7 linked regions of the Oryzias latipes genome follow. The protein of the gene in region 1 purifies or fractionates together with the protein of each later gene. This does not show direct contact. Links are inferred from orthologs where the notes say so. Each region holds a gene or a part of one and is shown on either strand. Other genes may lie near its edges. The genes, in order: prpf8, eapp, sf3b3, sf3b6, sf3b2, ttc27 and bcas2.

Region 1 (3,500 bases):
ACAGCATCAAAGAAACTAATCTGCAAGTCAAAAACATCTATATGAATGTAATTTTAATAGTTCTATAATTTCATGCTTGAAATTAAATAAGGTTAACTTGTTTGTGACTCTCAGTAGCATTGACAAACTATTGACTTTCTATCCATTCTTTCAAAGAAGCAGATATTCACTTCCAGATTAATTTATTCTCATAAGGAGCATCTCCGTCATACCTGATACTGCTTGAAATCTGTCCTGACTCTCCAACCTTTGTCATAAGCCAGAGTGTGTCTGTCTTTCTGGAAAAGTGTGTTGATGCGGGGAATTCCTCTGTCCCAGGAGTCCTCCAAATCCTCCAGAGTCAGACGTCTAGAACAACAAACAACACGTTTTACACGACTTGTTTAACACTCGCATTCAACTGAACCCCTTCATAAAACAGTTCCGCGAACAGGAACGTTGTGAACCCTTAAACGCTGATCTCATTTTGTCCGCACCTGTTCTGACCAATGGCTTCCTGTCTCTTGAGGGCGTACTCGGCCCAAACTCTCTGAGAGTCGATGAACTCACTCTCCCACGGCTGGATGTATCGATACAAGTTAGGAATGAGCTGGTCTTCTTCGTGGCTCATTCCAGACCTGAAGTGGGTGATTCCCACGTCGGTCTGCTTAGACCACCTGTAGCAGCAACAGAGAACTGAATGACTGGTTTGTTTAGACACCACATGTGTTTTTAGCTTCAAGAAGAGACGTTGGGACAGAAATGTGGCAGAACGTACCGCAGGTCTGACTGTGGGATGAGGACATGACCCATGGACAGCATGCCCAGCCCACCCAACTCTTTGGGGGTGTAAAAGACCACGGGAGGGAAGCGGCTCGGCATTTTGGAGTTGAGGCCAATCTTGATACGTGTCTGGATTTTGTTCTCACATTTCACCAGCAGGTCCAGCAGCTCCTGAGTATTGACCACAGCCTCGCGGAAGTACGTCATGAGGCCGATGAGAGCGGTGTTCCACTTGTTCACAATCTAAGAGGAAAAACAAGACAATGGATTTTTATTTGATCATGGTCTATGATAATGGCCAGGACACCAGAGTGATTTACAGGGATTTCTACTAGCCTTGGTGAAAGTGGTGGAGCCAGAAGCCATCAGGATCTGACGCACTCTGTTGTGGAAACGCTGCATTGACTCATCATCCACTCGGAGGAAACACTGCGCAGTCCTCTCTTTTGTTACCTGGCACAAAGAAAAACAACCATTTTCCATTTCAAAATAAACTGAACAATGTTTGCTTTACACACGAGACTGCAGCTGTCTCCAAAAGCCAGCAGCTGACCGTTATTGTTCCTCACCTCATTCTGCAGGTTCCAGACGCCATCCTTGTGAGTGAATTCCTCATAGCTGGTGCGACACTTGGGAAGAATGCGACACTCGAACCCACACATGTTGAAGAGCAGGTTGGGGTTGTCTTTGCTGTAAACGGACACGAAGCTGTTCTCCCACTGCACCGTGGTCACAGACCTGGGCAGGCGGTTCTTGATGTCCCAGAACACTGCACGTCCACTGGGGAGGGAAATAAGATTTGTGATAAACGCCATCGCAGTCTCCTCCAATGTTACGTTTAAAGTTATGCTGAAGAGTGTTTTTCCGCCATCAGTGCATGATGATGTGAACAGTAGTAAACTAGAAGAGGTGCTGTGCAGAAAGGGTTCTTCTCCCAACAACTATGAGCTCCAAGGAAATGTTAGAGCTGCTTATAACTGTGCTTTCAATTAAAATTCTGATGAATCTATTCACTATATATTGTGAAGATGAACTTACAGGTTTACATCGTGCTTCATAAGTCTCATGCGGGCGTCACGGGGCCAGCACTTCTTGTTGTTGTACCCCACTATGTTTTCATTGTTGGGGTCCGGATGCTCCGTCAGATATCGCTGAATCAGGTCTCTGGCTTCATCAGCAGAGAACCTGAAGGCCGTAAAAAGAAAGCAGAGTTTTAGAATCTGCCAATGAGTTAGGAAAGGCATTTTGTTTTTAGTCTCACCTGAAGAAGATGTGTATGCGGTCGATGTAACGGCAGTACAGTCGGATTGGGTGAGCAGACTCCGTTGCGGTGTCTTGGAAACTGAGGAAGTCGTTGGGCATCTGAGGGGAGCCCGCCATCTCACTGGCACGGTGCAGGCCGAGGACCAGCAGGTCCATCACCAGGCCGTAGTACTGCACAATGAACGAAGCAAACTGCAGGCCTCTGATGATGCCGTAAGAGTTGGTGTGGTTCATGTCCTAGAAGAAATGAATGTATTGACATCATGGACCAGTTTAAAGACAATGATTATGCGCTCAAGCTCAATGTTCCCAAACAGAGGAGAGCTTACTTTGTAGTTTATGACAACGTTGTTCTTGGCCGTCATGTAATCAGCGATGTTGTGGTCAACAATAAGGCGCAGTAACCTGTTCAGCAAAGTCAAATCGATTTTTTCGTACATCTTCTCGTAGCGGGACTCCAGCATCACGTTGCACTCTCCCTCCGCAGTCTCCCACACATCCTGCAAGTTGTTGATGCCTGACAGGAGCAGCCAAATAAACTACATTAGCTCCTTTGTAATATTTTTCTTTAAGAGCATTTAAATTACACGGCAGTAAAACATCTATTTGAAATCAACATAGGCTGGGACTCACCTTGGCACCACTTGTAAACCAAAAGTGGAGGTGGTTCAGTATCAGCAGGTTTGATCCAGGGTGGGAACAGCCGTCTCTTGTCTGCTTCGTACCATAGGTACTGATCCAGGTATGCATCTGTGATTTTCTCCAGGGGTTCCACATCATACACTGGCACCAGGTGGCTGTACAAATCCATGAACTCAATGCCAACCTGAAACGACAAGAAAAACATCAAATGTGATGCAATAAACAGGTTTGGAAAAAGGGTTTAACCGAACACTGGTTGAAAAAAAAGACATGCTCGGTTTTTTCAAAGGTCAACTTTTTCCCTTGAAGCTTTTAAATGTTGCAGCCAATATAGAGTCAGTCAGTCGTGCTGACCTCTTTGAACGCTCTCTGGGTGAGCAGGTGACGTTTGATCCTGGACAGAGCTTCATGAGGGTTGTCATAGGCTTGTTCGATCAGGCCGAGTTCCTCCCTCTGACTCTGATTCAGACGAGATTTCACACTATGAGGAAGGAAGATAAAAATCACAATCTTGAACAGGAGCAGTCGTGTTAAATTGAGTCCGTTATGTTCTAACATTTGTACCTGTAGGCCTCTTTGAGCCTTTCCAGAGCCAGGATCAACAGCTTGGTGTCATGTTTGTACGACAGTGGGGGAAACGGAATGGGCGAGAATCGCCGGCTCTCCAGCCAGTGCACAGTGGTGGTGTAAATGGCAACAGCTTCTTCTGCTGTGATGTAAGGGCCATCCTGCAACCAGAACACAAAGTTAGGAAAAAAGTTTAAAGCAGGTCAAATGTTTTAGATTGAGACTCATGGGTTAAGAATTATAACACTTTTAATTGTACTTTTTCA
Region 2 (3,935 bases), on another chromosome or scaffold:
ATTTCATGACGTGCATTCAAACCCTGAGAATTATTCTATGTATGTACTAGAACAGAATTTCTGGCATGGTGGTACAACGGTCAACCGCTAACATTAATATTCCTAGTCCAATTCCCACTCCCAATTACGTTCACACCAGACGTGTCACACATTCTTGGACATGCGTTGTCATATGGTGTTCACAGTGGACGGGCGCCAACACGTCCACCACCTCCAGTTGGAGGAGGCTTGGGAGGAAAATTCAAAGCGGTGCAAATCTCCAGGCGTTTTCTTTCACGGCTCGATTCCGGTTTATGAAAGACTTGGTGTGTCATGTAGTTCTGGCAGGGCACAAACTGCACATTTTGAATTTCTCCTTCTTGATCACCTTTCAACCAGTTAGCCCATTTGGTGAATTAAAAAGGATGCTACGCATGCGTCACTACCAAATCTGACTCTCTGATTGGTCAAAGTTCAACTGGTTTAACTTTCAAAGTGCGTTCAGTGGGTGCAGGTTTTGTACAAAAACAGACATCAAGACTCGCGCAGAGATGCACGAACAAAAGAGTTTTGACCGAAGAAGCCGGAAATGCGCATTTACAAGCGTTTACATAGACTTGGACTCGTTGGAAGTAGTGGCGTAGACGCGGATTCCCGTGGGCGGTGTGAACCTAGCATGCCCGTGCTCACGCCGCGTCAGTGTGCGTCTTACCAGCTGTGTCCTCCTCCTCTGAATCAGAGTCAAAGTAAACGCTGTCGTACATCTGAGGGTTGGAGGAACCGACAACCTCGCTGCCTCCTCCAGTTTCTGCTGCAGGAGAGAGGAAACCTTCACATGCAATCCCTCCTGAAACCTTCGTCTGCAGTCAGATTAATACAGAAGCAGACCAACCCCTCCAGAGAACAGCTGATGAGCTGCCTTTGCAGAAAAACATTCAAAATTTACAAACTATTGGTTTGTTTTGGGACTTTTATTTAACACAAACTAATCATTCAATTTCTCCTGGAATTGTGGAGGATTTGAAGGTTCTGGTGGATGAGAGGTTGTGGACTCCGGCTGGTTTGACTTGACTTTCTACTATAGCAAGTACATTGTATTAAAAGAGCATTTTTCTATTTTAAATTGAACAGTATTTCTAAAATATATCTTTTTTCTAATGTTTGTATGATTTATTAATTAAAACAAAGTAAAGAAGCCAAACATGAGTGGTATCAGGTCAAAACTATTGTTTTTGAGTTTTGCATGAAACCTGTCTGGATCTACAAATCCTCCCATGCTGGTCACTGATCTGACTGTTCATTACAGCTCAGACCTTAAAGTCTGCAGCTTCTAAAGAGAAGAACAGCTTTTAAAGCTGCACTGAATGGAGGAATGGAAACATCAGAAGACCTGTGGGGTGTTCCAGGAAGCATGTTTAAACTAGCCTGACTTTAACCCTGAACTCTGGCTGAAATCCGCCTGAAATCGCTTACTCTGGGTATGTCGGTTCCAAAAGACCGGGTATGAGTTGGCGTAATTGCGCTCGACTTGGTAACCCTGGGTTAATGCTCGTGCACAGCAGGTACATAAAGACATTCTCAATAGATCGCCGATTTACGGAGTAACCATGGAAACGCGTGGAGAACAATGGTGGAAAAAGTATTATCTGAGCTTCTTCATCCACTAAATCATCTTCAAATGGACACGCCATGCTGCTTCACCTCTCTGAAAACAAACTAAGCTTCAACTAAACCTGCTCCAGACCAGGTTATGTTCAGAGCATGAGTTACTATGGCAACTTGACCTACCCTGAAGCATACCTCCATTTCTAAAACAGAAAGCTGAGGGTATCAACTTCCTTAGCCTCAAACTTACCGTGGTAACTAGCATAACCTGCTTTCTGGAATACCCCCCAGATCAGGCTCTAGAAGCAGAATGAGATGGTTTTGAAAGGAGAGACGGACAGTTATGCTGCTGCTGCTGCTGCTGATGATGATGCTGGGAGGCGGCTGAGGTTGGGGCTGGTGGCTCCAATGTGGTAAAGTGGTTCAAAACAACAAGCAGCTCTCTTTTGTACAAAAGCTTGGTGTTTCTGTGTTTGGAAGGGCCCTGTGTGTGTCTGTGCGTGTTACGGGTTACCGGCTGCAGGGGCCCAGCTTCCTTCCATGGTCCTGAGGGTGGAGCTCAGCTCTGCCTCCATCTCCTTCTCAAACTCATCCCCGCTGGAGGACTCGCTCTCCCCGGTCAGGTACTCCCGGATCAGCTTCTTCTTCTGGTCCGGCGTCCCGTTCAGCAGCACGTCCAGCTCGTCCTCGGAGCTGAAGACAGGCGTTTCTGTTCAAAACTGGACTTTTGGAAACCTTCATCATGATGACGATCATGAAGCAAAGCAAAACACAGCGCCAAAATGCGACATATTGCGTCTCTTTTATCATGGTCTAAAACCTGATTCAAACTTTAAAATTAAACGTCTAGGAACTGGTTTATCCTGCATATATTCTACCTTTAAAATCAAAAACATCATTAAAAACCAAATCATAAACATGTAATGTTTTTATCCGTTTTTGTTGCTTTCAGCTGTTGTTAGCCTCGTGCTGCTAGCATGAAGCTAACCGTCTGTTTACATCATACCTGCTCGAAGCGCGTTCTTCGTCGCTTGGCTCATCGATTTCATAAGCCTCACTTTCCACCGGTCCGTTAAACTTGCTCATTTTAACAATTTTAAACTTTCTCAGAAGACAAAACAACGGGAAAGATTTATCCCGAAACTGGTCTACACTCTGTCCAGTCTGACGTATGTCTTCTTCTTCGGCATCGGTTCTTCTTCTATGGTGGTAAAAGCACTTGGAAAACTCGTTACCGCCCTCTTGTGGAGAAACATTTTAAAATCATTTTTACTTCAACTATCTAAAAGGAAATTCATTTCAGAACTAAAAAATAAAAGTAGGTGGAATATAAAACAAAAGAAACAAATAAAAATAAATTTATTTATTGCTAAAGCCACAATTTAATAGTAAAATCGGTCAGGTTAAAATGCTGAAGCTAAATTTAAAAGATTAGAAAAGTAAAATTAATAAAAAAGAAGAAATTAATTATTGTTTGGATTTAACAGTAGGTATAACATGAAAATAATTAAGAAAATTTTCAAACATTATATATTTTTATGTATCCCCAAAATATAATGATAACTATAGACTTCAAAAAGCATTAAATAAAAAGTTTTTCAAGATTAGTTTAAGGATAACCCATGCAACTTGAAAAGGACAATAGAGGTGAAAAGATTATTCAGCCATAAGCGCTCATCCTGGCAGCTCAGGAACAAGCCCTGAGTACCAGAGCAATAGAGGCTCAGATCTACCACACCAGACAAGACCCAAGGTGTAGGCTGTGCAAAGAGGCGCCTGAAACAATCCAGCACATAACTGCAGGGTGTAAGATACTGGCAGGGAAAGCATACATGGAGCGCCACAATCAAGTGGCTGGAATAATATACAGGAACATGTGTGCAGAATATGAACTGGAAACCATAAAGTCAAAATGGGAAACACCTCTGAAGTGGTAGAGAATGAGAGGGCAAAGATCCTGTTGGACCTCCAGTGTTATGGCTGTGGCCGTATTCGGTTTTGTTCTTTTTGTTCTGTCTTTTTTGTATCATAGTGGGACTTCTGTGTTTTGTGGGTTTTTGTGTGTCTGTCTGATTACTTTGGTGCTGGAAAGGGTGTGGCTTCCTTTTGGACCCAAGCTGATGGAGGCAGCCTTTACAAGCAGCATGTGGACCCCCAGCCTGCCAGAAGGGAGCTTTGCTGCAACCTGTCTCCACGGAGGTTATTGTTTTGTCACAGGTAAGATTTCAGATCTCAGTCAGGTGGGGTTTTGTTTGTTATTTTGGGTTTGGTTCACCCTGAAGCCTTTTTGCTTCACCTTTTAGTTATTGTCGATCGGTATTTATTAATTTGTAAATAAATGTTATTTTTTA
Region 3 (4,011 bases), on another chromosome or scaffold:
CAGAAATCAAATGGAAGTAGTCCATGTTTGAAGCCACTTTATTCTGAGATGCACATGCAGGACGATGGCCTTCGACATCAGCGGCTGACGCCAGAGGAAGAGGGATGCACCTTCATCATCACCCCTCAGAATGAGCCACCTCGACGCTTTGTCTGGTTTAAAGATGCCCTTATCGCGGGGGGGGACTCACCTCGATGCACTGGCGGGGCACGAGCGTCCTCCAGCCGCTCCTCGTGCGCTGATGCTGCTGCTGCTGCTGATGCTGCTCTTCGGGCGTCTAACGGCGCGCTCCCAGCGTGCAGTCACGCCGTCTGAATCTAAATGGCTGAATGTTTCCGGGGAAAAACAAGCTGAGGAATTTCAATAACCCTTGGGTGAAGGAGACAAGGGCTGCTAAACCCGCAACAACTAATGTTTCATGAGGCTAAAGCCTGCTAAGAAAGACACGGGGAAACGGAGGCATTACGGAATGGGTGGGAGGGTGGGAGGGAGGGAGGCAACTGGAGACTGTTCGTTCGTCGGGACGACCCTTTGCTACAAACCGAGAGGCGGCGCGGCTCGGTTTCTTTAAGGGAGAGCAGATTCACACTGAGCCCGGCGGCTGCCACTTTCATCTGCGCGAGCCAAAACTACAACTTCCTGTCTGAGCTTTTCATAATTTAATGTTTGTATTGTCAACAAATTATGCAAAATATCCCTCTGTAGGTTCCCTGAATGCCCGTAATTATAATTAATATTGATATTATTCTTATTATAATAATTTTCATTATGAATGACGGTCATAGTATGATTGGTAGTGGAATAAAAACTCTCAAAAATGAAATACTTAAAAACAACATGACCAAAATAAATACGTTTCACACTTATTCAAATAAACAAAATGTTGGTCAAATCAAAAAAATACATTTAGGAATCACAGCCATGTATCTATCACTGCAACATGCACACGTAGCAACATAGACAATAAAAACAGCTAAAATAAATAATTGTAACATTGGTTTCAAATGCGCTGCTCAACAAATGTCCATTCGTTTCTAAATATTGCATTTGTCCTATTTCCACCCTTTTAAATTTAACATTTGTACGTTTTTTTCACGCTTCACCATACTTGAGTTTTAAGCTATTCGTGGTATTTTAGACTCACTGGTCTTTGTCGACACCTCGTGGACGTTTAACTCATCAACAGCTCTTGATTCTTGTCAGGCATCGGGCGGGCCACCTATATCCATTACGTATCGCAAAGCGAAGGACCCTCCAACGGCTTCTTGTCGTCGGAGCTAAAGAAAAACGTTCTATTTCATGAAGTTAAATCTCTTTGGAATCTGAATCATCTCTTTGAGCCCACTGGTAAAAGTTTCAATTTACAAATCTGCATCACCGTTCAACTTGTTGAGCTTTATATTTTTTTTAATGTGTAAAAAATATCGGTGAAAAAGCTGCACAGCTGTAGATTCATCGGTAAAAGTGGCGCCTTGAATGAATAGGCTCCCCCAAGCTAGCAGACTGAATAATGACTCCTTTCATATTAATTTTTTTCCCTTTAAACCTTTTTTGGGATATCGCAACAGCAATGCTCGAGTTGTATACGCCACAGTCTCGTGGTCGTTAAATAACATATTGTGTAAAATGCTAAAAAGGTAAAGCCTAATGCTATTACAAAATAGCTAGCTAATGTTGGCAGTTGCTGTGAAGTGTGTAAACAAAATATAACCCCTTCCCGTCCTCAAATCCCATACTTCAGTGTTTATTTCTTGTTGTATTTAGACAATTGTTTAAGTTTGATCTGTTTCACCAAGTTCAACGTGCGTCTTTTCCCTGACATTTTACGTGCCTGATACTAAAAGTTGCTTAGTTTGCGTGTCACTTGTCACATCTTTGTGCAGAGTTGGTAAATATACTTTTTAATTTTTTTCCTGTAGCTTTCACCCGGGCTAAGGTTCAGTTAGCCGCTCCAGAAGGTCGTTGTGTAGAAACAACTGACCAGCAATCATGTTTCTGTACAACATCACCCTGCAGCGCGCTACCGGCATCAGCCATGCCATCCATGGAAACTTCTCAGGTGAGCTTCTAGCGGTACTATGACGGCCTTCCACTGCTTTTGTCACTCAAGACCCACACCAATGAAAGCTGTGTTTTAATACGTTCTTTCCATGCTGGACTTACACTAAGAAAATTAAGCTTTAAATTGCATTTCTGAGTATTTCTTTATTCAAATAATTGGGAATTGGTAGCAGACAAAAATGCTACTGGGAAAAGCTTGTAGTAGTATGTAGGTACTATAGTTGCAGACCATAAACTCCTTTCTTCACTCCAAAATGTGCCATTCTCCCCTTAATCCTTTGATGCCTATTGATGCAAATATCCATTAAACCATTTCTTCTCCAAATCTACCTTAAGTAGACCTTAACTTGGCATCTACATGAAAACAAAGACATAAGTTATTTTTTTTCCTTCATTGTCCTAAATAAATTCATTTGTCAAATTATAGTAGTAGGTTTAGGGGCGGGTAAAAGAGCTGGTATATATGCGCTCATGGGGGAGGAGTCAGACCTGAAACTCCTCCCCCATGAGCGCATCTATACCAGCTCTTTTACAGCCAATTCAGAATTGACAATGCCTCTTGGATAAGAGGTGAAACATCTTCTAACTTTAAAGTACAAATGACGGCCTCTAAACCTACTCCTATTATGGAATCGACCTGGATGAATGAGAGTCTTCATAGACACATTTGTCAAATGGTTCAACACAAAGCTGATTGTTTTTTCTTCACAAACGTCTTATCTAATGTCAATACATTTTGTTTTTCATTATTTAGGAACCAAAATGCAGGAGATTGTAGTTTCCAGAGGAAAGATCCTGGAGTTACTGCGCCCAGACGCCAACACGGGGAAAGTGCACACACTCCTCACAATGGAAGTGTTTGGTATTGTGAGATCGCTGATGGCCTTCAGACTCACAGGAGGAACTAAAGGTATGTAACCATCATTATTTAACAATATGTTACAGGTGAAAGATTTGCTGATTTTGCTTTTCCTAAAAGAATGGTCAGAGTTTATTCTAAAAAGGCTTTGGTACTGATTTACAGATTTTTGTATGTGATTCTTTCGCTTAATTTTAATGATGAGGAATAAAATAAGCTTCACTCTCCTCATTGAACTTTATCCTGTAAAATTAGGTGTTTAGGTACCAAAGGATTAGAAAGAAATGTTGCTGCTTATTGAATCACTTGATTTGGTTTGCTTTTGATATTTGTGCTGCTGAAAATGATTTGAAAACTGTTTCTTCTTGTCATTAATTGTGATGTTTCTCAGTAATCTGTCAGTTAACTGTTACTGTTGAAGCTTTGTGTGTGTTTTGCTCTGGTTTGGTTTACTCTGGACAGAGATCTTCCCCCAAATATAAGCTGTCAGTTTTCAGTGACTGTGTTTGATGAAGGTCAAAACTCTTAAGCTAGCAGGAAGCCCTTTTTTCACGTTTACTTTATCCTCATTTTCAAAACAAATTCTCAAAGCGTGTGTTTGGTTAATTTGTTTGTTTGTAGATTATATTGTTGTTGGAAGTGACAGCGGACGCATCGTCATCCTGGAGTATCATCCATCTAAAAACATGTTTGAGAAGATCCACCAGGAAACCTTTGGGAAGAGCGGCTGCAGACGGATCGTCCCGGGACAATACCTGGCTGTAGACCCTAAAGGCAGAGCTGTCATGATAGGTGAGAGTTCTTAGCGTGTCCTTTAAATGCGCATTCTTTCAGTATTCTCTTCTTCACAATTTCAAATGGTTCCATGTGTAATTTTCAAAGAGTAGCAAACACACAGAGTGCAAAAGATCAATTAAAGTGAAGATTTCATACATTTGAAGTAATGAGAGATATTGAAATGAGAGATATTTTTGGTTTTCTCTCTGCTGTTTAATTAATTTAAAATGAATTTGTGCAACTTTTTCAATGAAGCAGGTTCTCTGTAATGATCGATTGAAACTGAACAGAAGGTTGCAAACATAGTTGAAAAA
Region 4 (3,408 bases), on another chromosome or scaffold:
GAGGAATTTTAAAACAAATGGATAGTCCCATGTAAAAATATAAAATATGATAAAGTGGATAAATTAAAGAATTCAAAATAAATAAAAACTATTAAAACATTTGCTAAAAGGCAGTTGAAAAAGATGGGTCTTGAAGCTTTTCTTAAAAGCAGCTATGCTCTCTGCAGCTCTCAGGTCCTCTGGCTGACTGTTCCGTAAACAAGGGTGTACCCCACCTTTGCCCTACAACAGCTAGGATAGGCTCCAGCAACAAATATAGCAGGTTAAGATGGATGGACGGAAAAGACTGAATGACGGTCAGCTTCTCAAAAGATACTTTTCTGTTTGTGTGTAAATGTGGGGGAAAAAAGAAAAATTAGCTGATGTGACAGGTTTACAAAACAAGAGTAAAGTGAGTTCATATGTGGTGTTTATAAAACAAAAGACAATGGGTTTAAAGAAAAAGAGACATTTATTTTACAATAAATGGGTTTAAACAAACATTACATCCATTGATGTTCTTGGAGCACAAGGCAGAGACCTGTTAACTTTCAAATAAAATTATGTGGGGGGGGGGGAAAGAACTGAACTGAAAACATGCCTGGTTTCACTTCAAATTAAAAGCTCAATTAACATCAGAGAAGTCATTTTTAAAAAAAGCAGACGGCAGGTCATGCATAAAAGGTTGACAAAAGCACCAAAACAAAAACCTGACCAAGCAAAAATTTTCAAAAAAGGGAACATTTGTACAGGTACAGAGAAATCTAAGGTGTGTGAGAAGGTTTTGATAGTCGTGGAGATCATTTGGGAGGGTCTGTGTTGATGCCGTATTTCTCTTTTAGGAGCTTCAACTGCTCTTCCTTCTTCTTTGTGTCCATTTTCTGGAAAGCCTGCAAAAATATGAGCGGGTTGATGGTAAACAGAAAAAAACAAACAAACAAGGAACCAAAAAGGTTGTAAATGGATGAAATAAAAAGCATACGTACTCTGTTGGCGTTGTAGTAAAGAACAACCAGGTAACGATTGCAGACGTTGAAGCCTGACAGGTGATCGCAAGCGTTCTTGGCATCAAATATGTCTTCATAAACAACATACGCCGTTCCTCTGCTTTCAGGTGTGTTACCCCTAAAATACAGCAAAAGCATGAAATGGTCACACATCTTAACCTGTTCCATAATAATATTGTCCTTAAAGACCCACTCTGATGAAAACTGTTTTAAAACATTTTCTCATGGCATTTTTCTGATGAAGGACAACATATATGAAAGAATATTGAGCTTATTTACATATTTATTTTATTGTCTGAAAACATATGAAAAAGTGATCTAAGAGGGACTCTTAAATGATGATAACATGTGAGGGGAACAAACAAAACAAGCATTTTTAATATGATTAATAATGATTTAAATGTCAAATTTAAGCAAATGCTACACCACAGTTTGGAATGAAACGATTTTTTAAATAAATTTTGCTTCTCATTAATACTACCATGTAAAAAAATTACATTTATATATATTCATTGTTAGTAGACGTGGTTGTGTGTTTAGGACAGACATTTTTTTAAATTAAAAATAAACAAATAAAACTGAAGGTATGAAGACAAAACACTTACGTTCGTATTTGACGTATGGGTCCATATTTGCCAAAAATGTCGTACATTTCCTCAGCCGTGATCTTGTAAGGCAGATTTCTTATGTATAGGATTCTGTTCACCTCTGGAGGTAACCGAATCTGCAGCACACAAAAAAGAAATGTGTAACAGAAAGACTAGCATGTAAACAAACGGTATAAGAATTCTTCACTAAAGTGTACCCTCTAACGTGCTAAAACAATAATAATTCTTTAAAATTTTAAGATGACAAAACAATCAATTTTACCATCTCATTTTCAAAATGCCGTATTTATTAATTTTTTTACGTAGCGACGCTATCTTTTAGTAACCAATAGCTGCTAAAGGCTAACGGAGGGCTAATTGTCCCTTTCGTGAGCACCAAAAACCATATTAACATATACTCGTTGTTATATAGTAAAGTTAAACACAAAAATTGACCTTACATTAGCGCGTTTCGCAGCTTGCATAGCCATGATGACAGTTTATTTCGTCTGAACAATAGCTAAACAACAAACACGCAATGCCTTTAGCCTTCACCAGGAAATGGAGGGACAAAACGAAGACGAACATCCGGTTAACGGATAATACCAATAGGTACAGCAATAGGCATGTGCTTCCCTCGTGTGGTTAAAAGAGGAATCACACACATTTTGAGATACTATTAACACAACTTTTTTTAAATTTCTTTGTAATTCTGTTCTTTGACCTAGAAAAAATCAACATGGCCATGAAAGTGGTTTTGTGGTTTCACAAGACACAAGAAATAAAAAGACTTATGTGTACCTCTCTCATCAAAGTGTTGTGCAATGAGATATATGTGTAGGGAAAAGTAAAATTACTTATAAACATCAATAAAATGCAAAACAGTTTTTTTTGTCATTTTTGTGTTAGGAAATTCCCTACACTGACAAAATCTATGTATTTAACTTTTTTGGAGAAAAATATTGGAGATTTGAGCACTAGTTAGAATTGCAGTTTGACCTGTTTACCCACAATTGGGGTTTTGGCGTTAAAATGAATCTACTCCCCTTTTGTGTCTTTTTTTTCTTTAAAGATAAAATCCAAATTCTATACATATTTATGAGGGGGAAGTTAGTAAAAATAACCATCTCTCATAAAAAAACAAACAGAAAACAAAGCTGTGCTTTTAATTTCTTTAAAAAAATACAGTCTAAAAAAGATCTTAATTCAAAGTACTCGATTCCTCTTCTTTTGTGACATTTAAAAAAAAAGCGAGATGACAATCACCTTTATAAATCTAACCACAAATAAAAAATATTTTTTCTCTAAAATGTTCGGAGAAAAAAAACTATATATAGAATATTAAATAGAATTGTGATAAAGTATTACAATATAAAAGAGGAAAAATAAACGACGACATGAGAATAAAGTCATAAAATTATGAGAAAACAAATCAACATGGGGTAATGATTTGTTGAACTGTTGTGCTTTTATTTTCTGCAATTAACAGGTTATGGGTTAAAGAAACGAAAAGAAAAGAAAAAGTATTAGTGCGCAGGCGCCATGTGGGATTTGATGATTCGGTCCGGTAACGGTTGCAGATTACGGCGGGAGTTTTTCCAACGGCAAACTGGCGTCTCTCGAGGAAAATCTAGAAGGGACGTTTTATTGAAGTCTCGCGACGTGGAAAAAGATCGACGGTTGAAGACCAACTCGGCGAGGAGAGCTTTCTTAGTCTGAGATGAATAAACGGGTGAGTTTTAGTTTAACATTTTTTGTAAACCAAAACGATAGCCGAACTCCTCGTATTGACTTTAGTTGTTTTTTTTTATTCGCAAAACGCCCGTTTACAGAAA
Region 5 (3,500 bases), on another chromosome or scaffold:
TAACAAAACTATTTGAATTCTGACAAAAAATATTAACAGAAGCAGTTTGAAGATAATACCGTATTTATCATATTTTGCAAACCTAACCCTAGATTATTGTTGAACTGCTGGGGACTCTGTTTTTGTACAAAACCAGCACTGAGCAGGCTTTAAGAGCTAATATAGTAACTGGAAGTGGCCTTCAGCACTGAAAGAATTGAAGGCAGCAGCAGCATGTTTGTGACAGCAGAAACCCCACATACCCATCCATGGCCTCCTCGATCTTCTTCTTCCTCAGCTCAATCAGCTCTGGAGTCTCCATGCCGGCTGGTACAGACGAGAAGCCTCCAGGAGTGATGAGTCCACTGCAATACATAACAAGGCGTCAGTTCAGTTGAAGGCTTTCTTTATAGCAAGGTTTCATCCCATGTGTGAATCAACATCCCAAAATGAAAAATAAACAGTCTTCAGTGATAAACTTGGCCTGAAAACAATGTTTTTAGGTTATGTTAATATTCGTTAAATTAGGACAGTGACTAAATGTTTTTCAACTGGTCCTCTTGTTGAGAATAGAGGATTTGAACATCAAAAGGCCCTAAAAAAGCATTCAGATGTTTAATTTTTACTTGACATCTCTCACAACAAAGAAATACAAGAATAAGCTTTTCTATTTTGAGCCCTTCTGCCACCGATCCTCAAACAAATGGATAGAAAAGGAGAAAATCTTTAAGTTTAGCTGAACATTTTAGTTTTCTCATCAAGGACCTGTCTGCTGGTGTGAAGAATCCAGTTTCATCTGGCTTCTCTTCATCGCTCTCCTCCTCCTCTTCTTCCTCTGAAGATTCCTCATCTGAAGGCTCCAACTCTCCCCATGGGGTATGGTCTACCTCTTCTTCCTCAGCCTTAGCCTGGACACAAACATTAGTCCAGTAAACAAGGGCTGTAACAAGTGTTATTTGGAAATTCACAAACTATTCCAGAAAAATCAAGTACAAATATTTTTTTAATGTTCAAGATCGCTGATTTGCAATCTTTCCAAATATAGTAGAGTGTGGTAAAAAAAACATTTTACACTGTAAAGGGCAGAATAACAGAGGATTTTCAGTTCATAAACTAAACAAACCGAATGCGCTACTGTAACTGGAAGTAAATAAATCTTCAAAGTGTTGGTGAAAGGTTTCATTTCCAAAGTTAACTTATCAAGTGTTTTTTGTAGATGAAATAAAAAGAGAATGAAGTTCAGTTTACTGAATATGCATAGATTCATTTATTTTAATTTTTTAATTAATTTCACATTTCATCTAAAAACGGATTTTGTTTTGAATTTAATTGCCAATTTAAATAAAACACAAAATGAATATTTAAGAATATTACAAAAATCTGGTGACCAATTATGTTACATCATACGCTAGCATTGTGGAGAAGTCGTAAATGAACGCATCTGCAAAACGTGTTGGAGTTTTATTGTATTTCTACTAACGATGTCTGTTTACGAAACATGTCTGTTGGAATCACGGTTTTCCGTTAAGATTAAAAGACTGAGTTTTCTGGTTGTTAAATATTTTTTGAGGTCCTGCCGCGTCTTAATTTATTATCTTGTCGTTTATCTACTGGAACTGTAGTCAGCTAAAGTTTGAGGATGGAAAAACTGTGGAGAACATTTTCAGGATTTATTGTTAAATGATTCAAAGCAACAATGATGTTTGTTTTGTTTACTGCTGAAGTTAACTAGGAAGTTGACAGAAAAACTTTTGAGTGTGACATTGTTAAAAGTGACAAATAACATTTCTTTCTTTAAAAATCTGTCTATTTATTTGTCATGTTTTTTTATTCTGATCTGTTGCTCTAAATAAAATGTATAAACAATGCTGATTAAATACGTATTTTAGTTTTCAAACATGTATCCACCATTCAGAAAAAATATAGTGAATACTAAGAATTGTGGTTTGACCTGTGAATCGGATCACCATCTCAATAACAACTCAACTGCCTATAAATAGTCAACCAACAGGATGAAAACAAAGAAAAATCAATGTGTTTTACAACTAGAAAAGTTGCATTTCCTGCAGAAACATGTTTGATTGTGTAATTGCTTGATAGTTGCTTTTGCTTGATTGCAAAACTTTTAGTTGTAGAAGCTGATGTTTATTGAAAGGAAAAAGGTTGAATAATTTGCTGAAGTTTTTTATATAAAGTTTGCAGACGTTTTTGGAGCTATAAGTGTAAACCTGCAAATAGCCTTACAATTGAAATGGAACACATTTGTTTAATTGCAGAAAAGACATACATGGCAGAAAAACTTGAAGAGAGCAATATTGTCCATAAATGGCAGGACACAAATCTAAAAACTCCAAAACTTACTAAAGGAAGAATTGCAAAGATGTATCTAAACAGTTGTTCAGAGATATAAATTTATCTTAAGAAATTAGGTATAATTGTAGCTAAATGCCAGATTAGTTTAAAAACCTCAATAGATGCCAAATTAGTCAAGGCAACTAGCATATTGCTAAAAAATTAGCTAAAATAGCTTGAAAAACCTTAGTAGATGCCAATTTATCTAAAACACCTGGCATATTGCAAAATATTACCTTAATACCTACTAAGCTTTAAAAACTTCAGTAGATGTCAAATTAGCCATGAGCTAGAATCGTATAAACATAATGGTTTAATAACAAATTAGCAGAAAAAAGGAAAAATATAAAATATCAGCTATAGTCTAAATTAATTTTAAAAAATCCCAGTAGATTCTTTTGTAGCCAAAACAGTAAGCTTATTGCTTAAACATTAGTTGAATGCTAAAATATCCTTGAAAAAGCTCAATATATGTCAATTTAGCGAAATGTGCTAGCATAATCCTAGAAGTACAGTTTAGTGCCAAATTAGCTTAAAACTTAGCCAAAACAGCTAGCATAATGCCAGAACTTCAGCTAAATGCTAGAATAACTGGAAAAACATAAGTATATGTCAAATTGGCCAGAAAAGCCATCATATAGCTGAAATATCATAATAAAAAGCGATGATGTCACCCACTCTAGGTCTGCGAACATTCCGCAGTATATACTAGTGTTAAAATCTGATGAGGGGTCAAGACTCGTATAATTTAAAAAAGCTGTAGTTCAAAAACTATTTGAAGTATTCAAAAGAAAAGTAATACCTGTATAAAGTTTAAATGGCGTCTGTAGGTAAAAAATTGTAGGAGATACATTTCAAAAACAGTGAAGTAAAAGCAGACTCCCCATCGACTTCCATTATATTTGGAATTTAAACTACTTCAATCGTTTTAAAAACAATAAAATATTTGAAAAATTATTTAAAGACAGTTAAAAGGTCTACAAAAATAACAGATACATGTTTGATTTTTTTTAATGGCATAAAGTATATAGAAGTTAAGATTGCAGAAAAGCATACCCCATGTTTTTCTATGGCGAAAGTTGCAGCAACTGTTGAATTGAACATCAGTTTATGTTTTCTATTGATCAAGTAGTGCTATATCTGAGTGGGCTTTTTAGACAATTTTACAT
Region 6 (3,336 bases), on another chromosome or scaffold:
GCTTCTCCTCCACATCGAAAGGAACCAGTTGAGGTGGCTCGGGCATCTAGTCCGGATGCCTCCTGGGCGCCTCCCTGGAGAGGTGTTCCGGGCATGTCCCACTGGGCGGAGGCCCCGGGGAAGACCCAGGACACAATGAAGCTCAGAGACTACGTCTCTCAGCTGGCCTGGGAACGCCTCTGGGTTCCCCCAGAGGAGCTGGAGGAAGTGGCTGGGGCGAGGGAAGTCTGGGCATCTCTGCTTAGACTGCTGCCCCGGTCCCAGATAAGCGGAGGAAGATGGATGGATGGATGGTATCAAAGTCTTTACATATTCCACTTTAAAAGATAAATCATCTGAAGCTTCACTGTAAAGAAAGAAAACAAAGGTTCCCAACACTCGCTGATGTATAAAGATATATTTTAGGGAAATGTAAGCTCTGAGACTAAATCCAAGACATGAGAAGATGACTAAAAATATAGTGAAGGGCAGAATTTCCATAAAAATGACAAAGACAAACATTAAAACACTATTTCAGATTTTCTTTTATTTTTCTCAATATTTGGTGGAAAATATGAAAGAGAAACTGCATAAAAACAAATTCATTTAAGAGTTTTTAAGATTTTACTGTTCAATGTTCTTTCCATTTAGGGTATTTAACTATAAAAACGTGATTCCAAAATAAGTCATCTGTTGAAGTCAACAGATGATGTTGGGAGTTCTTTCAAAGGAAGGGGGCGTGTCTGTAAGGATGTCACAGGGATTTGTCTCGCCGCAGGCCTCCTTGCTTCTGCAGCGCAGCGATGAGCTCCTCCAGAGTGGCGATGCCATCCTGCAGCTCGGCGGGAAGCTGACCTGTGCCCGCATCCGTGTGCAGTTGCTGGAAGATAGCAAAGCAGGCGAGGTGAGAGGCTGAGGGGGGAACGCCTTAAAAACAACTTTCATGGCTGCTCTAGATCCTCTGATGCAGCAGTCAACCAAAACAGTTGCAAAAGCACAACTTGATTAGAATCACAACGGTACACAAATAATTTTGCCGGGGTTCCATTGGTGCTAAAAAACATGTTTTTGGCACAAACGGATTCTAATCACAAAGGAACATCATCAAGGCATAAAAGTAACATTTCGTAAACATCAAAGTATTTTATTAAGCTAAACTGATTTTGATGATTAAATTGTAAACTTTTGTGTTTTAGACCTTTTAATTATTAATCAACCAGTAACCAAAAAGACTGTGGCAGGATGAGTTTGGGCTGCTTTCATATGGAGGTTTTTCTGGTCCATCAGATTCTGAATTCTTTTTAAACCCTCAAATTTTCGTTCTGAATTTTTAAATGCAAAGGTTTTAAAAATTCAAATTGAAAATTCGAGGGTTTAAAAAGTTCAGAATCTGATGGAACAGAAAGACTTCCATAGCTCACTGTGTGAAGCACAACAGTTCCTATAGTCTGCTTTGTTAGACAGGTGTGAAAGCTCACCAGGGGCCTCATTTCTGAAAAAAAAAACAACTGTAAAAATGTGTGCATGCATAGATGGTAAACGTCTGTATTTATAACAGAAAAGGTTTTTGTGAACATTTTAAATCCACACAGTACTATGAGTGAGAGACCAGCAGGTTTTCTACAGCAGAAATGAAGAGACTTGAGGGCAAAAAAATATTACACAACGCCACAGAAGCTACACAAACTGATATGATGACACATATCTGCACTGATCTGTTAATTTTGTCACCATTATGTAAGTTAATAAGATAGAACAGGAAGGACTTGAGACAGTTTCTATCATAAATAAGCTATCTAGATATATAGTTTTGAATTCATGATCTGTGTGACTGTCACATCTCTGGCCTAAAAGCACACTACGCTGCAAAAACAAGCCCCTTCAAAACAAGTCAAATATTCTTACCCCATTGGGAGATTTTCTTTAAATAATCAATAAAAAAGGCTAATGGTGTAAGAAAAATGGTCTTAAGAATTCCTATTTTAAGAAAGAAATTCTAGTCCCAGAGACATGTTTTCTCAAAGGGAGATTATTTCGTTTTTGATTTGGTTCCGTTTCGGTCTCTGGTTCTCTTCCGTTAGAGTCATGTGTGAAAGCAAACCAAAGCCTCCCAACTCAACAGCCTGTGGGGGAAATCCTGAACAAAAGCAACCTAAAGCACGGTCGGGAGTCACACAACAACCAGAAAGTGTTTGGGGAAAATTGACTGTATATGTGAACTGGACTGAGTGACATATTCTTGCTGATACTAATTTATTTACAATTTTTTTTTTCTATAGACAAAATTATTCAATAGAAACCGACCAGTCAGATGCCGGAATAAAAGTCTTTGGTCTCACATCAAATGTTTGAAATGTCTGATTGACAGATTCTCCCAAACCCATTTTCAAGTAGTAGGGGTGGGGTCTTCCAACAAGCTCACTCCTGATTAGAGAGAGTAGTTCCCATGGAAACATTGACTCAGACCAATCATTGCTTTCTTACGGCTTCTGTTATGTTGCTACCGCAGAAAAAGGTGAGTCTGAACCCCCACCGGTCCCAAACACACTGACACCCCCCACCCCAGAGAAAGCAGAAATGTCAGCTTCACTCAGATAAAAAGTGGCTGGACTTTACTTTGGCTTTGGTGACCAGACTCCGGAGGCTGAGGCGGGTGGAGGAGAGCATCTGCAGAGCTTCAGCAGGGTTGCTCTTCTTCTCACTGCAGCTGATGGTCACTAAGAGATGAAGAGACATTCAGGGACTGCAGGAACTTTTAAAAAACACAACAGCTTTTTATTGGAAGATTTTCCAAACAAACAGAAGTTAGTTTTTTGTGTTTTAGACTGAAATGACTGCTAATCGGGGAATGAGCTCCAACAGGTGGCATCACTGCAGTAACAACCTCCTCACAGGTCAGCTCTTCCCTCTTCCTGATGGCAGGAAGCCCAGCTGCTTCCTGCCTCCTCCGCCTCTGCTGTGAAGGTCAACCGGTGGTGATTTATGGAGACAGTTTCCTCCTGCTCTGCTTTATCTGTCCTTTGCTGTGAGTGTCGTCATCTGAGCTGGATCTGCACAACAGCTGGCTGCTGGCTCTATTACTTCATCTTCACATTGACCTTGATGTTGACGTTTCCAAAAACGCTGCTCGGAGCATCTTAATCTCTCCTCAATCTATCTAACGTGGTTTATCCAAACATTCACTCTGATCCTTTAAGTTCTCAGATCTTAAGAGGAAATAAAATTGTGGGAAAAGTATGACTCCGCCCCTTAAAGACCCACTGATCATCCTTTGATTTAAAGTCTTTTAATGACAATTATGCTGTTTTTAGCCAAATTTCAAAAACCTGTCATTTTCTCTGACAATGTTTCTGCAGA
Region 7 (3,736 bases), on another chromosome or scaffold:
CTGTCAGTTGGGGCCTTGAGCTTGATGTGTATATATATATATATATATATATACACTAATTAATTTCAGGATAAAAGCACCTCCATTGCAGCTTTACTTCCATTGTGAGTTAATGTTTTGTGAGTTTTTGGGTTGTGAGTTAATGTGTTGTGTGGTAAGTTAATGTGTTGTGAGTTAATGTGTTGTGACCTTTCTGTGCCACTGACCAACAACAAAGATGAAGACTCATCCAGGAAGTCATGGAAGACGCTGAGACTTTTGAAAATGGATCAGCACAAAATGCTGCAGATTTCTGAGATCAAAGTTCAGTGGATGTACAGAAGACAGGGGATCTGACACAAAACCGCCTCACTCTAGGCCTCAGACTTTAGGTTTCACTGTTCTTCAAGAGGGATGAATGACAAACCATCCAGCTGCTCCCATCTGTTAGCTTCCAGCTCATCAGCTGCAGCTCTGAAGCTCAGAGACTTACAGGTAAAAGACTGAAAAAAATAACAATGTGTATGAAACGTTCATTTTATTAAAACGATAAAAAACAAAAGTTGAATCAAAAACAGGATTTTTTTTCTCCACCACAACTTAGAAACTGTACAACAAGCTACAAAGACATCGATCATGTCGATCGATCATGAGTTTCAAACCATGATTTGTGTGTAACTGAACACAAAAGACCCAACGGTTCCATCAGAGGAAACCGACGCCTTTCAAACATCATCCGTCTTGGAGTCGAGTGACCCGCTACGCTCCAGCAGTCATCGAGTCGTCCAAACCAACCGAATCAGATCCATCCAACGGATCCCGGTGAGGTGACTCCTAAAAGTCCTGTCGGATGTTCTCCTTGTTCTCCTCCCCTTGCTGCTGCCTCAGCTGAGCCACCTCGTTCTCCAGCTGGACGATGGCGCGCTCGATCTCATAGTTTTTACTGACCAGCGACACCCAGCTGGCGGGAATCAGAACCAGAGTCAGACATCACCCCTCATCCACGAGAACACCAGAACTTAAGAAGAACCTACTTGGACTCCAGCTCTCGCAGCTTGGCGCCTGCAGCCAACTGATCGTTTTTGCGCTGCCAGTTCAGGTCCTGGATCTTCTTCCTGCCGGCATAAGTTCAGAAATGTGTAACCATGGTAACCGTTGGATCTTTTCAGGCATGTATGATCCAATCCTCAATCACCTGAACTTGTGGAGTTCCTTTTGAGCCAGCTCAATCAGGAAGGCCAGATTGCTGAAAAGGGACAACATTAGCTTTGAGTCTTCAGAAGAGTCAGACACCAAAGGGTGAGACCCACAGGCCGCCACTCACTCGTTGTAGACCTTCCACGCGTTTGTTCCATAATGCGACATGAGCTCCAGGTTCTCGATCCGGATGGCCTGGTGCTCCAGCTGGGCCATGGAGTTATTGACACACTCCTGCCAGGCGGTAATGTCGTTCTTCTGTCCCGATGTGGGGGCTGGAAGCTCATACCTCCACAGCAGAATAGAATCGTTCTATGGAATCACCCTAAACTTTCTCTTTCTTTTACATTTACAGAAATATTGTACAGACAGACAGAGTGTGTTTTTTACCTCTTCATGCTGAGGAGGTCCATTGGTTGTCGAGCGGCTAATCGCTCAAACTCATTCCTCATGATTTCTGTCTGAAACCCAAAACAAAACGGGAAAGGATTATAAACCGGTTAGCCAACCCAGACTAGGAATCAAGTTTCAAATGTCTGCAGGTTTTCACCTCAAACGGCGAGAACTCCGGCATGGGCAGGTAGCTCAGGTAGTTCTTAGTTGGGCGATACCTTCTGGTCTCTTCTTCCACCAACGCAGCGGCCTGAAGGGCCAAGTACAAATGATTTCTCTCCATTTTTCATACAAACATGATTTAAAAATGAGCCACAACCCCTGATGATCTAACATGTCAACTTAGTGTCACCAAACCCTGGTTCTCCAGATCTGCCGGCTGTTTCAAACCCCTCAGCTGTTGTTTTACCCGATGAGGTAAACAGCAGCTTTGGCTTTGAAGGTTTTCATCCTAAATTATGAACTTGTATAGTTTCAAAGCAGAAACCTATAATGACAAGATCTAAAGAAATATACAGGCGATCATAATAATAATGGTTTGGCCAACTATACATTGAACGGCGCGTTACCATGCGGCATCGCTAGCTAACAGTTCTAACTAGCTATAAGTTAGCTAGCTTTTAAAGCAGCATTCTTGTTTACCCACCGCTTCTCTGACACCTGGTGCGTCATAACCTTGATCAAAATACGGCAACGCATCAACAAACACTTCGCCAGCGACCGAGGCCGTTCCAGCCATGTTCGCTCCCCAGTAAAAAAAAATAAAAATAAAGAAAGAAAGTCCTTTTCTGCTAACAGACTCCAAACGGCTAATCAGAAACTTCCGTTTCCGGTCAAAACTTTCCGAAATAAAAGTCTCAACGGTGTTGTATTAATCGTGATTGTCGCCTCTTGCGTTGAGGAATGGAACTGCAGCTTAGTAGATAGATAGACAACTTTATTTATCCATTTGGGAGGTTCCCGCATGGAAATTGACATCTCCATCGCATACAGCACTGGTTGACATACATATAGGAAAAAGGAAAAAGCAGCACAGTGACTAGAAAAATGAGGAAGATTAGAACAGTAAAAAACAATTTAAATATCTGCAAACAGTATATACAAAAAAAAAAAAGTGATTCAGGCCCTTTCCCTTTCCTTTCTGTCCCCCTCCCCCCTCCTAAGTGGTTTGATGGCCCGGGGGTGGTAAAGAGTTTGATGGCCCGGGGGACAAAGGAGTTCCTCAGTCTATTAGTCCCGCACCTTGGGAGGAGCAGCCTCTTGCTGAAGGTGCTTCTCTGGCTACCGATAGTCATGTGCAGAGGGTGGCTGGTATTGTCCAGGATACCTGTCAGTTTTTTCAGTGTCCTTCTCTCTGCCACAGTAGCCAGACGGTCCAGCCTTGTGCCAACCACAGAACCAGCCCGCCTGATCAGCTTCTCCAGCCTGGAGAAGTCTGTCTTTGAGGTGCTCCCCCCCCAGCACACCACAGCGTAGGTTATTACACTGGCGACCACAGACTGATAGAAGATCCCCAGGAGCTTCTTGCAGATGTGTAGTGTAACAAACTTCAGGTTTCAGCTATTACTGCACTACAGTAAACCTTTAAAGAGTTTCATATTAAATTTCAACAAATAAATGCTTTTTTTATCTTTCTTTTGTTGTTGTTCTAAAAAAATATATAAATAGCTTTTTCTTCTGATACAAATGTGATCAATCTTGTAAAAATACTTCATCATCACTTCAATATTTTTTTTTAAATAATGTATATAAAATTATAAGTTTACGTTGAAGGCATTTCATCTTAACAATACAGAAATAATAACCAAGAGTAAATAGCCAAGAAAGGGGAAGTACTGGTATGTGTATGCATTATAGTATGTAGGGCCGCACAATATGAGGAAAACTCGCTATATGCGATATTAGTGATCAATATTGCGATGAAGATATAACTTGCAAAAAATGAACAAATAGCAAAAACAACAAAAACATTTCCATTTCCCTTCAAATGTTTAGTATAAATAAGAGTCAAAATACCTTAAATTTATCTTCCAAATGACCCTCGTCTAATTAGTAGGGCAACATCTAACGTAAGAGCTCCATCCGATTGGTCAACAACGTAAAGGGCTATATCTGATTGGTCAAATGCATAAAGGGATTTAGTTAATTCATTAAATAGCTAAAGTTA

Evidence for each region.
Region 2: the proteins of prpf8 (region 1) and eapp purify together in Homo sapiens (affinity purification with mass spectrometry; 4 studies listed by BioGRID and IntAct, counting the BioPlex papers as one, with this or other methods). This does not show direct contact. The link is inferred for Oryzias latipes from reciprocal best matches to the Homo sapiens genes PRPF8 and EAPP.
Region 3: the proteins of prpf8 (region 1) and sf3b3 fractionate together in Homo sapiens (co-fractionation; 4 studies listed by BioGRID, with this or other methods). This does not show direct contact. The link is inferred for Oryzias latipes from reciprocal best matches to the Homo sapiens genes PRPF8 and SF3B3.
Region 4: the proteins of prpf8 (region 1) and sf3b6 fractionate together in Homo sapiens (co-fractionation; 3 studies listed by BioGRID, with this or other methods). This does not show direct contact. The link is inferred for Oryzias latipes from reciprocal best matches to the Homo sapiens genes PRPF8 and SF3B6.
Region 5: the proteins of prpf8 (region 1) and sf3b2 purify together in Homo sapiens (affinity purification with mass spectrometry; 3 studies listed by BioGRID and IntAct, with this or other methods). This does not show direct contact. The link is inferred for Oryzias latipes from reciprocal best matches to the Homo sapiens genes PRPF8 and SF3B2.
Region 6: the proteins of prpf8 (region 1) and ttc27 purify together in Homo sapiens (affinity purification with mass spectrometry; 3 studies listed by BioGRID and IntAct, with this or other methods). This does not show direct contact. The link is inferred for Oryzias latipes from reciprocal best matches to the Homo sapiens genes PRPF8 and TTC27.
Region 7: the proteins of prpf8 (region 1) and bcas2 purify together in Homo sapiens (affinity purification with mass spectrometry; 3 studies listed by BioGRID and IntAct, with this or other methods). This does not show direct contact. The link is inferred for Oryzias latipes from reciprocal best matches to the Homo sapiens genes PRPF8 and BCAS2.

Annotation. Positions count from the first base shown.
Region 1 is NC_019871.2:16,920,923-16,924,422, reverse strand, and holds part of prpf8 (pre-mRNA-processing-splicing factor 8), read right to left. Parts: intron 3,396-3,500; coding exon 3,232-3,395; intron 3,149-3,231; coding exon 3,022-3,148; intron 2,852-3,021; coding exon 2,659-2,851; intron 2,543-2,658; coding exon 2,355-2,542; intron 2,263-2,354; coding exon 2,024-2,262; intron 1,948-2,023; coding exon 1,801-1,947; intron 1,543-1,800; coding exon 1,332-1,542; intron 1,216-1,331; coding exon 1,099-1,215; intron 1,006-1,098; coding exon 758-1,005; intron 657-757; coding exon 477-656; intron 349-476; coding exon 213-348; intron 1-212. UniProt on the Homo sapiens protein: Plays a role in pre-mRNA splicing as core component of precatalytic, catalytic and postcatalytic spliceosomal complexes, both of the predominant U2-type spliceosome and the minor U12-type spliceosome.
Region 2 is NC_019880.2:24,339,581-24,343,515, reverse strand, and holds the start of eapp (E2F-associated phosphoprotein), read right to left. Parts: upstream 2,801-3,935; 5' UTR 2,671-2,800; coding exon 2,591-2,670; intron 2,278-2,590; coding exon 2,099-2,277; intron 791-2,098; coding exon 692-790; intron 1-691. UniProt on the Homo sapiens protein: May play an important role in the fine-tuning of both major E2F1 activities, the regulation of the cell-cycle and the induction of apoptosis. Promotes S-phase entry, and inhibits p14(ARP) expression.
Region 3 is NC_019864.2:25,096,010-25,100,020, forward strand, and holds the start of sf3b3 (splicing factor 3B subunit 3), read left to right. Parts: upstream 1-1,211; 5' UTR 1,212-1,347; intron 1,348-1,919; 5' UTR 1,920-1,989; coding exon 1,990-2,059; intron 2,060-2,815; coding exon 2,816-2,971; intron 2,972-3,541; coding exon 3,542-3,712; intron 3,713-4,011. UniProt on the Homo sapiens protein: Component of the 17S U2 SnRNP complex of the spliceosome, a large ribonucleoprotein complex that removes introns from transcribed pre-mRNAs.
Region 4 is NC_019882.2:13,000,521-13,003,928, reverse strand, and holds sf3b6 (splicing factor 3B subunit 6), read right to left. Parts: upstream 2,188-3,408; 5' UTR 2,065-2,187; coding exon 2,035-2,064; intron 1,711-2,034; coding exon 1,592-1,710; intron 1,105-1,591; coding exon 966-1,104; intron 870-965; coding exon 780-869; 3' UTR 501-779; downstream 1-500.
Region 5 is NC_019876.2:19,496,889-19,500,388, forward strand, and holds part of sf3b2 (splicing factor 3B subunit 2), read right to left. Parts: intron 888-3,500; coding exon 745-887; intron 345-744; coding exon 243-344; intron 1-242. UniProt on the Homo sapiens protein: Component of the 17S U2 SnRNP complex of the spliceosome, a large ribonucleoprotein complex that removes introns from transcribed pre-mRNAs.
Region 6 is NC_019873.2:9,610,715-9,614,050, forward strand, and holds the end of ttc27 (tetratricopeptide repeat protein 27), read right to left. Parts: intron 2,697-3,336; coding exon 2,596-2,696; intron 860-2,595; coding exon 734-859; 3' UTR 501-733; downstream 1-500.
Region 7 is NC_019865.2:942,938-946,673, forward strand, and holds bcas2 (pre-mRNA-splicing factor SPF27), read right to left. Parts: upstream 2,413-3,736; 5' UTR 2,309-2,412; coding exon 2,216-2,308; intron 1,820-2,215; coding exon 1,727-1,819; intron 1,638-1,726; coding exon 1,567-1,637; intron 1,466-1,566; coding exon 1,304-1,465; intron 1,226-1,303; coding exon 1,175-1,225; intron 1,095-1,174; coding exon 1,014-1,094; intron 941-1,013; coding exon 814-940; 3' UTR 501-813; downstream 1-500. UniProt on the Homo sapiens protein: Required for pre-mRNA splicing as component of the activated spliceosome. Component of the PRP19-CDC5L complex that forms an integral part of the spliceosome and is required for activating pre-mRNA splicing.